Linked DNA regions of Saccharomyces cerevisiae S288C. The gene in region 1 interacts genetically with each later gene. Each region holds a gene or a part of one and is shown on either strand. Other genes may lie near its edges.

Region 1 (8,134 bases):
TGTCCGATCTGTCGCGAACACTTTCGTGTTCAACATAGAAATTCTTTTCGAAAGTTGGCAATTTGGGTAATTCTTCATCCCAGTTTGGTTTGATCAATTCCTGGGGTTGGTTGTAATTGGAACGACCACCGAAACCACCACGGTAGTTACCGCCTTGTGGTCTGTCATTGTAAGAGTTTCTATCAGAGTTTCTTCCACCGCGGAAGTCGCCACCTCTAGACTTGTAGTTAGTCTTGTTATATTGCTGATCTCTACCACCGTAAGTCATATTTGCTCTAAATTTGCCTTAATAGTGCTTAATTCTGTTACAGGTTGTTGACAAGAAAATAATTTGAATGAGATACAGAAAAGTATAAGTTATTTGAGCGTAGGACAGTCTTTTTATAAGACAAATAAACTGAAGGAAAAATTTTCTGCGATGAGCATCGGCGTAAAAAAAAAAAAAAAAAAAAAAAAAAGAAATAAAAAAAGAAATAAATTTTTCAATCATTCAATACGGAATACGCCTTTAAAAAGGAATTTCGAATTCTCAACATTATTAGCACCTTGTACGAAGGTGTATTTTTATCTGGTTATATTATACATAGATTTTAAATAGCACGACTATAAACGGGATACACAAATCAAGCTGTATCTATACTAGCGTGGTGTGCATAATTATTAGAAATTTCAGAGTGACAGAGGGTCTTTGAGTCGATCCGTAACATCTACATGCTCTTGATTTTTTCAGTAAACTTAGATTCTACAACGTCACATAAATCCATCAAGTCCTTTAGCCCTTTTTGAAGAGCATCCACCGCGGTCGTTTCACCGTAGGTTTGAATTCTGATATTTAATAGGTTTTCAGAAGGATGAGGTATCGAGTAACCACAAAATTCTACGTCTGGATTTTTCATTATAACGTAACGAAGGGCATTTCCAAGCGTGTGATCCTCCTCTACAATTTGAAAAGAGGCACTAGTTCCATCTTCAGATGTTGCCTGTGTGAGAAGCTTAATTTTTTCCCTGTCTGGTTCCTCTTCCTGTTCTTCATCGCCAGTCATATCAACATCCTGTTCTTCTTCTTCTTGGATGTGCTTTGGTTCTTGTGGTGTTACCTCTGTAGCGGTCTTTTTTTGTTCGATGTCTTCAGTCATTTGCCTGGTACTTTATGTGAAGTTCAATTTTTCCGACTTTGGATTGATGGCCTTTCCCCAATTCGTTACTTTATACCTCAGCATTAGTATGGTTTTCTTTTGAAATTTTTTTTTTTTCCAGCTCATCGCAGGTGAATATTTCTATCACTTGTTACGTTTACCATTACCCGGATTGAAGTAAATATGATTCACCCCAATAAAGCTGTACAGAAGAGATAAGATGTAGCTTTATTAGAACAAAGTTTATCACGTTGTTGGTACTTAGAATAATCTATGATATTGTTGCGTCTTTTTGAATAAGCTTTCTTGCGTGCCGTTTTTTTCGGTTTTTTTTTATATTTCTGCCCAAAAAACGTAGTTCAAAGAAAAGGAACTATCCCAAAATAGAAGCAAGTTATGTTTAAGGAATTAAAAAATGTACCTATAAAGCACGTTTTTCTGATATGTATATGCCTATGTAATGTAGAAGTTGTCGAATCAGCAATCGTATTGGTCAACCTTGATGGCATGTTCTCAGCACGTTTTGAAGTGGCTATGCATATATAGTGTTCTTTAATCTATTCCTTGCAAGGCTATTCGGACCCCTAATTTTAACCATCGTGCAGTTTAAAGGGATGAGAGAAAAACTAAAAGTTAGATGCCTTGCTATATTCTATAAGGAGGAAAGGAAAGGAAAGCCATTGAAGAAAGAACTGTAGGCATCAGAGCGAACAGATCATGAAGGCTAATGGTTTAGATAATGATCCGGCAAGGACGGGAATGGAAAGAACAGATATAGATAGTGAACACCCAGAAGCGCAACCGTTGCTGAACAACAACCACCGGACCCTTGGTGCAGGATCCGCGAATGGCCCAGCAGTTAATGAAGGTCGTGACATTGAATCCGATGGGTTCATCAAAGATAGTCTCTTTCAAATTCGCAAAGGTTATAGAATCTTTATTCATAACTCCAAATGGATATTAAATATCCTAATTCTAATTAACACCATCTGGCTAGTCACCACTTTGATTTCAGATTTCTTTTTCAATATCAATATTCTTTTCGGATTCAGTAACAGGTACGCAAGTTTTAACGACTTGACTTTAATATTCATCTCGATCATAGCTAATTCTTTCAATCTCTGGTTTAATAAGCTGGGACTGTACTCAGCTTTAGATTACAGCTTAAATGTAACTCTCTGTGTTTTGACGTTGTTCAATCTAGCATTGACCTATCTAATTAAATACACTAGGCAAAGAATCGGCTTTGTGGGCACGTTTACATATTTGTGGACTTCGTTTTCATTTTTTATTGGGGCAATATTAGATTGGTATCTCTTGTTTTACAACAACTCAATAAATGAGCCATTGGAGGAACGCAGAATTGATGATGCTAATATTAGTACTTTCAACGAAAACCATACAAATAGTACCGAAAACAGGGACAGAAGCCAATATGGCTCTGGGTCGCCAACCCCCACCCACCGCTCGCAGCTGGTCCAAAACAAACATACATTGACAGAATGGGTATCCATTGGGTTCAGGAATACTATTAAGTTTTTAATTTTAATATTCTTCGCTTTATTCACCCTGAATACACTTTTAACGACATTGGATACCTACAGATTGACTCACAAATTACCAATAACCGTTCAGTCGCCCTCGTACGAGGCGTTCCATTACGTAGATGCCGCTAAAACCTATCAGTTGCATATAACTTGTTATGGTGACGTATTTGATCAAGAAAACAACACAGATTTGTCTGAAAATAAGAAGCAACCTATCATCTTGTTTGAACACGGAGGTTATGATACTGGTTACCTTTCTGCCACCTGGATTGAGGAACTATATCATTTAGACAAAATTCAAAGATATTGTCTATACGATAGACCAGGGTACGGGTTGAGCGATTCTCCTCCCGCCCCAATCTCTATTGCGATGGTTGCGGAATCTTTAAGGTACGCATTGATCAAAGATGCAAAAATTAAAGGTCCCTTCACTACAGTAGGATACGACCTTGGCGGGCTATTTACAAGAGTATTTACCGCCAAGAATGTCGATATTGTGGATAGCATGATGCTTGTTGAATCATGGCATGAAGAACTATTGTTAAAAAACTACATTCAAAGATTACTACCTCCAGGCCGTGGTGATGGCGACGATGGCGACGATGGCAATGGTAATGATGGGGATGGCCGCAACCATGATAAGACTTGGTTACCTTCGGAGATAGAAAGGCATAACGAATTTAGATTATGGTGGAAAGGCATTTGGTCGAGTTTAGGATGGAGATTACAGACTTCATGGTTACTAGCTCATCATGGGTCTAAAGAACGTATATATGGGCGTGATATGAAATATCAAGGACGTTTCTTGCGTTCCAAGTTTTTGGAAAGCGTGACGAGTTCAATTCTAAGTTACAGAGATGTGACAAACAATGCAGAATCTTTGCAAAATGTGAAGACAAGCATCGTTAGCTCTAAGGAAATGGTGAAGAAGTCGGCATTATGGGGCGATTGGCAAAGAGATTTGACCAAAATTTCTCACAAGACTCAAGAATGGAAAATAGTTGAAGGTGGGCATGAAATATATAAGTATGGTCTGGGCAAACAACAAACTCAAGAAGTCCTATTAAGATTAATAGGTGAGCTTGGCAAACTAACCGAGGATTAACCGAGTTCTTTACTTTTTTTTTAGTTTTATATGTGAAAGCAAAATTGACTGCCAACGATGGAGGTATTGTATTCCTGAAAACAATAAGTCAAATATGTAAACGGCGCAAATATATAAATACTAAGAGAATAATTAAAATAATATTAAGGTACGAGATGTGGAGTTCGGTGGTTTTTCTTTATTTTTCAAACTGTGTATTTTCTTTGACCTTAAGGATGGCTATCAACATCCTTTGAAGTTTCCATTAAGACGCTAAGTTGATCCACCAGTTGATCACCTTCACTTTCCACATCACTTTCATCTTCCTCGTCACTACTTTCAAAGGAGGCCTCCAAATCACAACTTGATCTACAGTTGGGGCAAACAAATTGCGGATATGAGAGCATGACCAATCTTCTTACACAACGGAAATGCCAGCTATGTGCGCATGGTGATATGAAAATTGCTTGACACGGTTTGATCTTACATAGGCAAATCGAACAATCTTCTTCTTCAATACCTGTAGTTAATTTTTGTAAATTCTGCAAACGCTGTAAAGCTTCTTTGTTGAACGAATTTGCCTTTAGTTTCCATGATCTATTTAGCTCAATCCTCATCCTTACACAACGATAGATTTCTTCCGTGCCACCTCTAAAATCCATTCCTAACTGTAAAATATCACCATCACGAAGAGGGGTATCTTTCGATAAAGAGGAAGCGGGTGAGAGCCTTTGGTGATTTAAGAAAGTTCCACTAGATGATTTCACATCCTTTATATACCAGTTACCTTGAGAGTCAACTTTAAAACAACCATGTGTCCTTGAAACAACTTTGGATTTAAATACAACTGGATGATATTGTTCAGGTATTTTAGAAATTGCATCGCGAACACGCTCAGTATAGCGGCCAATAACCAATTGGGATCCAGGGCCAGCCTTTCTTATAATCGGTTCAAAGAATAAACCTTGATTTGTCGTGGACGAACTATCAATAAATGGGGTTAGTCTTATACTAAAAAGACCATGCTTATCTTTCCTTTGCTTCAAAGTGACCTCATCTACATTGAACATATTGTTTGACTCCTCTGCACTTGTTGCAGGTAAATCCAAATGTAAAATTTCGGTCCCATTTGGCTGGTTTGCAGCATATATCAAGTGACGTAAATTCTTATACATTTCCTGACTGTTGTTAACAATAGTAGATCCATCTGCACCACCGACTATATTTCTCGTTGTAGCCGCTGGCGCCATGGAAATTATCGAGGTTGTGGTATTGTTAGTACCGTTAGGCTGCCGCTGATTCAAAGACTCTTGAACGTTACCAACATTGTTGCCTTCGAAATTATGCGCAGATGATTGCTGGTGGTCTGTGGTTGTAGGGGCAGTGAGAGATATGGAGATGGGGAGTTGATAGTTGCGATGAACGTGGAACTGGGCCGACAGAGGCATTTGTATAGGATGATGCAGACGTGGTTCCTGCTGTTGCGGAGCGGTATCGATACTTTCCATGGCCACACTCATATGTGAGTTAGATGGGGTTGTGCCGAATAGACGCTGATCAGGAGCCGCAGAAGAAGAAGCTGTCTGGCTATTTTGCCTAATTCCGAAGGTATTCAAAAACGAACTGATACCCGACGCCGGACGAGCCCGCTCATTGGATGGAGTACCACTGGCTCTGTTCCTTGGGTTTATGCCACTACTGCTAGTGGTGTTGGCATTTGATGCGGATGAAGAGTTGGACGTCATCGATGAAGTTGGTGCAGTGGGAGCAGGGGTATTAGCAGGGATAGGCGTGTACATTTCCACGGTATATCCTTTGCTGAAAGCTTCAAACGTATACAATGCGTTGCTATACTTTCTCGACTTCTTTTCAAATCAAAATATATGCCCACGTTTGGAGTCATCAAGTATTGTGTTTGAAATTCCACAACAATGGTTGATGCCTTCGCCGTCGACCGTGATACATTAATCTGGCCAAAACAAAAAAAGGAATCATGATAAGATGATTCATTGCTAACTACGAAACGAAGCAATATAAAGATAAGTTTTTGGATTCCGATACATAATCATATAGGCATGAATATATTTTTATATATGTGTACACTGGGGCAAGGGAGATCACAATTTGCTCAAATCAGTGGGCGTCGCCTTAGTGGACACAATTTCGTCGTACAACAATGTAGTCAAAAATTCACTGAATTTCTCGCCTCTGATTTCTGGCAAGAAATACTTAGCGGCCAGCGCGAATTTGTTCTTGTCACCCAATGGACTTGCCTTAGACAGTCTTTCCACTTGTTCTTTTAGAATCTTTTCGGTTAATTCTGGGGTGACCTTTTCTCCCGTGTCCTTTAGAGTAACACCGTGTTTCACCCATTGATACAATTGACAACGAGACACTTCAGCAGTGGCGGCGTCTTCCATCAAGTTGTTGATGGGCACACATCCAGAGCCTCTGAGCCAAGCTTCCATGTACTGCAACCCGATATCCAAGTTTTGTACAATTCCCTCGGTAGTAATCTCACCATTTGGAATTTTGGTTTCCAGCAGATTAGCAGCCGTTACAACGTTTTCAGGAATGAAATAGATTTGGTTTGGTGTTCCCATATTAATGAAAACTTCATTACAAATAGGGGCCAGTGCTGGGTGTGCAACCCATGACCCATCATGTCCATTTGTCAGCTCTCTAATCTTATCATTACGGACTTTAGTCATGGCCTTTTCATTGGCTGCCGGGTCGTCTTTGATAGGGATTTGCGCAGCCATACCACCCATGGCATGAACACCCCTCCGATGACAGGTATTGATTAATCTTTTCACGTATGCATCCATGAATGGGGAAGTCATAGTCACTTGATTTCTATTGGGCAAAATGTGATTAGGATCATTTCTTAATCTCTTGATTGTAGAGAAAATATAGTCCCAACGTCCGCAATTCAACCCACTAGAATGTTGTCTTAATTGATAGATGATCTCTTCCATTTGGAAAGCAGCAGGCAAAGTTTCAATCAACACAGTAGCTCTGATTGTACCCCTTGGGATCCCAATGTAATCTTGAGCTACACAGAAGACGTCGTTCCATAGTTTAGCTTCCAAGTGGTGCTCCATCTTTGGCAAATAGAAGTAAGGACCTTTGCCCAATTTGATTAATTCTTTGGCATTATGGTAGAAATATAAACCAAAATCAAAGATGGAAGCGCTGATTGGTTCATCATCTACATAAAGGTGCTTTTCCACCATGTGCCAACCACGGGGTCTCACGATAATAGTGGGCAAGTTGGCCACATTTCCATTCAATTTGTACGATTTTCTTGGTGTGTCAAAATCGATTTGATTTCTGATCGCGTCGTAGAGATTAACTTGACCGTAAACCATGTTGTTCCAAGTAGGTGAAGCTGAATCTTCAAAATCAGTCATATAGGTGTTCACAGGAGCATTCAAAGCGTTGATCAGCATATTTCTCAATGGAGGCCCTGTGATTTCCGTTGACCTATTAATTAACCCCGGTGCCAAAATTGGACCTTGCCAAGTGGGATCATTTCTAATATTTGCAGTTTCAGGCAGGAAATCCAGATGATAGGAGCCCGAGTCTAATTTCTTCTGAACAACTTGTCTGTTTTCCAATAATTGTTTTCTCTTGTTGTTGAAAGTTCTGTGTAAAAGAACAATGAACTCTAGAGCATCCTTGGTAAGAATATCTCCCACTGTAGTACTAGATGGTTTAAAGAAAGGCTCCTTATCAACATCCACCAGTAATTTGACGTTATCCAAACTGACCTTAACCATTTTCTTAATTCTTTTATGTGCTTTTACTACTTTGTTTAGTTCAAAACAATAGTCGTTATTCTTAGGTACTATAGCATAAGACAAGAAAAGAAAAATAAGGGACAAATAACATTAGCAGAAGTACGGTATATTTTACTGTTACTTATATACTTTCAAGAAGATGAGTTAAATCGGTAGCCAGTGTAGAAAAATAATAATAAGGGTCATCGATCCTTCGCATTTTATTATCCAATTAAAGATACGAATCACGGCAAACTATATTCAAAGCTCATAGATAATCGTCGTAAGGCTGACACTGCAGAAGAAAAGTCATAATTTGAATACTAGCCGGTATGAAACTGTGATTGATTAACCTGGGGTTACCTAAAGAGAACATAAGTAATACTCATGACAGAATCAAAACACAATACAAAATTTATCCGAACCTCGGCCCGACTGCCGGCTCGCCGGGAAAGGGGACAACCGCTTCTATCCGTCGACTAACTTCATCGGCCCAATGGAAGCTATGATATGGGGATTTCCATTGAGCCGATAGCAATGTAGGGTAATACTGTTGCGTATATAGTGATAGTTATTGAATTTTAT
Region 2 (4,716 bases), on another chromosome or scaffold:
CCAATGGAGGATGCAGACGTCTTTAAGCAGAGCGTAGATCTACTGAACATGCTTTATTTATTTTTGTTATTGTAGTTTTCTTGGTTGGTTTTCCAGATACTTCTAATCCTAACACCCAAGAATTTTTGAGGAAAGGAGAGTGAAGTCAATTGTCACCGACAAACCCCCCCCATTTATATAACCGCCGAACTTCCATTTTCATTACAAATTTCTCCTCATTCTGCTTACCTACACCCGCCCCTCATTTTCCATCTCTGTTGGAGTTGGAGAAAAAGATACCTGTGGACGGAAGTCCCGCATCGCTGGATAACAGCCGTACCGTCGCCCGGGCGGGGAATCATACCAGCAAACAAAAATGAGGGGGAAATGACATCATGTGCGGACGGTACTAAAGGATCAAAAGAATGAATGAATGAATTGTTACACAAAACGGTGAAATTGTTACATACATTTACTAATTACATACATTTTTAGTACTGCGTACGGGTATAGTTATGGGGTTACAGATTCGTGGCAGTTGGGGCAGGAGTGTCATCTAACCAGAGGGTCGCCAGGGCGGGACATTGCTGCTGGCAGAGGCCAGCAAGCTGGAGCAACTGCCGGTAATGCAAGCTCGTGCTGGCGCGATCGTGGCGTGGTGTCGTGATTGGGTTATTTCGTAGATCAAGAAATTTTACTGATTGGCGTGGGAGAGTTTTTGTTAACTTGTGTGCGTTTTGTAGGTTGTTGCCTGGCAGATGTAGCTCTTGCAAGAACGGTAGTTCCTTGGAGAGGTCCACTGGTAAGTGTGTGAAGTCTCTAACATTAGCTATAGTTAGAGAATATAAGTTGGTGGATTTTAGAGAAGAGAATCGCGGCAAAGAGGAGGCCAGGCCGCCGTTGATCTCCAGAATTTGCAAAGTGGCAGGCCATTTTTGCCATTTGCTAAGTTGAGCGAAGCCGTCCAGTTTTAGAATCTTTAGATTTTGGTAGGGGAACGTGAATTGATCATCCAACTTGTAATTTTGTAATTTGGATAGCGCGCCTCCTGTATTTTTGATGGAAAGCGCTCTCAACGTTCCGTTCTCCATCTTAGAAGATTCCACGATGGAAACTAGCGGGTTACCATTGAGGTTTAAAACCTTCAGGCGGGGCAAGCAATTGATGTTTCTTACGCCAATTATGTTATTGTTGCTTAGATCTAAGACTTCCACGGTCAACCAGCCGCCCACGACAGAGTTGTTTGTTAGTATCAATTGTTCGAAATCGATGATACCATTAATCTCGTTGTTAGAAAGGTTCAGTTTTTTCATCCTGGAGGATCCTATCCCTTCTAAGGATTGGATGGAGTTGTAAGAAAGGTTCACCTCTTGCAGGTGATGACAAAGTGACAAAAATTTTAAACTTGTATTCAAGAGGTTGTACGATAAGTCGAGGCATTCCAGATCGTGGAATCCGGCTAATGAACAATGTGCGCTCGTTATTTTGTTGTTTGAACAAAATAGCTGTACAACGTTCGAGGGTATACCTTCTAGAGTGTTCATTTCATTGTCACTAAGGTTTAGCACTAATACATTCGGTAGTAGTCTTTGCATGCCAAACATATTCTTCAGTTTGCCCCTTGATAGGTCAACTTTCAGGATTTTTTCCCAATCGGAATCATAGCTTGGAGAACCAGATAGTTTACTAGTCAAGATTGATATTAGCTGCTTTTCAGTTTCGTTGAACGAGGTGTTTACTTCGGAAATGGACGTAATATCTTCAACCCGTTCAGCGGGGAAGGTCTTTAGTTTCTTGTGAGCTTCTAGTAGATTGGAATTAGAGATTGAACGAGAGGTACGCATTTGTCCTTTAACCTTCGCTCTAGTGCCATTTTTCGTAAAAAGGTCATTAAATTTTGGTGTGTCTAGGGGCGTGTCATCGCTATTTGCTAGATTTTCTTCTTCTTGTATTTTCTTTTGGCGGTAGCCAACATCACCTGGTTTGGTACTGGTTAATTCATACGCCTTCTTATCTAGAATTGAAGGTGCCTTACCGTTAGTGTGATTATCTCCAGTTGGTACCATTGTGGCGAACTGGGACTGGTTGGAAGATGTATTGTCCAGAGAATGTGAACTCGACACATCTAAGCCCTGGTTCAGCGGCGGATCCCATGCGCCGTGTGTATGGTTAAACTGATATCCCAATTGACCGGGTGAAATAGTGTTCAATGGAGGTTTCTTGAGAACTTTTGATTTTCTGCCTGATTGAGTTTGAGAGGACGACATGGATGACGATGATGAAAATTCAAAAGAATTGGAAGTGTCCTCTTCGTCCTCCTCCTTCGTTCTAGCGTTATCCTTATTATTAATATTAATACTATTATTATTATTATTATTATTATTATTATTATTGTTTTTGTTGTTGCTATTACTTGGATAAGAACCCACCAAATAATTCGATTTTTGCTTTTGTAATATGCCATCAAATACATCATGTGCCTCAGCTGCTGGGCCAGAATCGCTGTCATCAGAAAACGACGATGAGACCTTCTCAGCGTTAAAGAAATCTTTAGAATGTGAAATACTAATCGTATCATGGTTTTCATGGGTCTGCATAGTAGTAGTTTTATTCTTCATATCTAAATGTCTTTTAAATGTATTTGTTTCAAGAACTCCAGATAAATCCTTAACCAAGTCGCTCACAATGAGATCCGATTCAGGAACTTTGTTTGCAGTACCAACAGCGCCACCAAAGTTGGTACCACCGCCGCTACCAATACCAGGGAAATACTGCTTCCATTGAGCTTCTTGATGAGATGTAGCAGTCGTGCCTGAAAAACCTGACGGCACTTTCTGATGCACCGTGCTATAGTTGTTCAAAACTGTCATTGTAGGAGGTTTTTTGACAGAATCGGATATTGCAGGTTCCACAACTTGGGAAGTAAAATTTGAATCTTGAAAATCGTGGTTACTTTCATATTCCTTAAACACTTTACCACTGTTACTGTGCGCGTTCGAGCGTAGCTTTCGTGGTGAATTTATTGTAAGATTCTCCAGCTGGCTCGATAGTTCTGCCTCCTGCGTATCCATATCCATTTCGGTATGCTTTTACTATTCAACCTAGTCGGCAATTTTTTCACCTGAATATTGTTGAACACTTCTGGCATCCTAGATACTCATCTGTATTTATTCATTATCTGTTGTGCATCGTTAATAGCATTCCAGTAAACAAGTTTAGGTCACTACCCGCATAAGCCTTTTGGCGTTTGGCGTAACCCTCCTCGCGAAAAGAAACGGGACGCAAAAAAAAAAAACAACAAAACAAGAACAAAACAAAACAAATAGGACAGAGCCTTAAGGAGCTGCAAGGATCTTCTGAATATTTGGCATCGGCATTGTGGGTGGAAAAAGTGTCCAAATTGGAATAAATTGGTCAGAATAGAGCATTGATTCCAACTATGGACAGAGATATAAGCTACCAGCAAAATTATACCTCAACTGGGGCAACTGCAACTTCCTCAAGACAGCCCTCTACGGACAATAATGCAGATACAAATTTTTTGAAGGTAATGTCAGAATTCAAATATAATTTTAACAGTCCGTTACCTACAACGACTCAATTCCCCACGCCCTATTCTTCTAATCAGTATCAACAGACTCAAGATCATTTTGCCAATACAGACGCTCACAACAGTTCGAGCAACGAATCGTCGTTGGTAGAGAACAGTATATTACCGCATCATCAGCAGATACAACAGCAACAACAACAACAACAACAACAACAACAACAACAGCAAGCTCTAGGTTCACTTGTACCTCCTGCTGTCACAAGGACAGATACAAGTGAGACTTTGGACGATATCAACGTTCAACCTTCTTCTGTTTTGCAGTTCGGCAACTCTTTACCCAGCGAATTTTTGGTTGCATCCCCAGAGCAATTCAAAGAATTTTTGTTGGACTCTCCGTCCACCAATTTCAATTTCTTTCACAAAACTCCGGCAAAGACACCACTTCGATTTGTAACAGATTCTAACGGTGCTCAGCAAAGCACCACAGAGAACCCAGGTCAACAACAGAATGTTTTTAGCAATGTCGATTTGAACAATCTTTTGAAGAGTAATGGAAAAACACCCTCATCTTCATGCACCGGCGCATTTTCACGCACTCCTCTGAGTAAGATTGACATGAATCTCATGTTCAATCAACCGCTGCCGACATCTCCATCAAAAAGGTTCTCCTCCCTGTCGTTGACACCATATGGAAGAAAAATTCTGAATGACGTCGGTACACCTTATGCAAAAGCATTGATATCGTCTAACAGCGCGTTAGTGGATTTTCAGAAGGCAAGAAAGGATATTACCACTAATGCAACATCCATAGGGCTGGAAAATGCCAACAACATCTTACAGAGAACGCCGCTAAGATCTAACAATAAAAAATTATTTATTAAAACCCCCCAGGATACCATCAATAGCACTAGCACACTAACTAAGGACAACGAAAATAAACAGGACATATACGGCTCTTCACCGACTACCATCCAATTAAATTCATCAATAACTAAATCTATCTCCAAATTGGATAACTCTAGAATTCCCTTGTTAGCTTCGAGATCAGATAACATTCTGGATTCCAATGTGGATGACCAATTGTTTGATTTGGGGTTGACAAGATTACCTTTATCACCAACACCAAATTGTAATTCTTTGCATAGTACAACCACAGGTACATCTGCCTTACAAATTCCTGAGCTACC

What was found.
Region 2: mutations in DMA2 (region 1) and NUD1 are lethal when combined (synthetic lethality), as found in Saccharomyces cerevisiae (one study listed by BioGRID).

What each region holds. Positions count from the first base shown.
Region 1 is NC_001146.8:405,773-413,906, reverse strand, and holds DMA2 (ubiquitin-conjugating protein DMA2), read right to left. Parts: upstream 5,567-8,134; coding exon 3,998-5,566; downstream 1-3,997. Other genes in the region: DEAD-box ATP-dependent RNA helicase DBP2, read right to left, coding at 1-268; DNA-directed RNA polymerase core subunit RPC19, read right to left, coding at 708-1,136; YNL115C (uncharacterized protein), read left to right, coding at 1,854-3,788; malate synthase MLS1, read right to left, coding at 5,885-7,549. UniProt on the Saccharomyces cerevisiae protein: E3 ubiquitin-protein ligase which functions in cell cycle retarding in conjunction with the UBC4 and UBC13/MMS2 complex, 2 E2 ubiquitin conjugating enzymes. Involved in nutritional control of the cell cycle.
Region 2 is NC_001147.6:1,035,174-1,039,889, reverse strand, and holds NUD1 (Nud1p), read right to left. Parts: upstream 3,057-4,716; coding exon 501-3,056; downstream 1-500. Other genes in the region: aldehyde dehydrogenase (NADP(+)) ALD4, read right to left, coding at 1-50; NDD1 (Ndd1p), read left to right, coding at 3,419-4,716. UniProt on the Saccharomyces cerevisiae protein: Involved in astral microtubule organization by binding SCP72 to the outer plaque in a cell-cycle dependent manner. Required for the mitotic exit by facilitating the binding of TEMP1 to CDC15.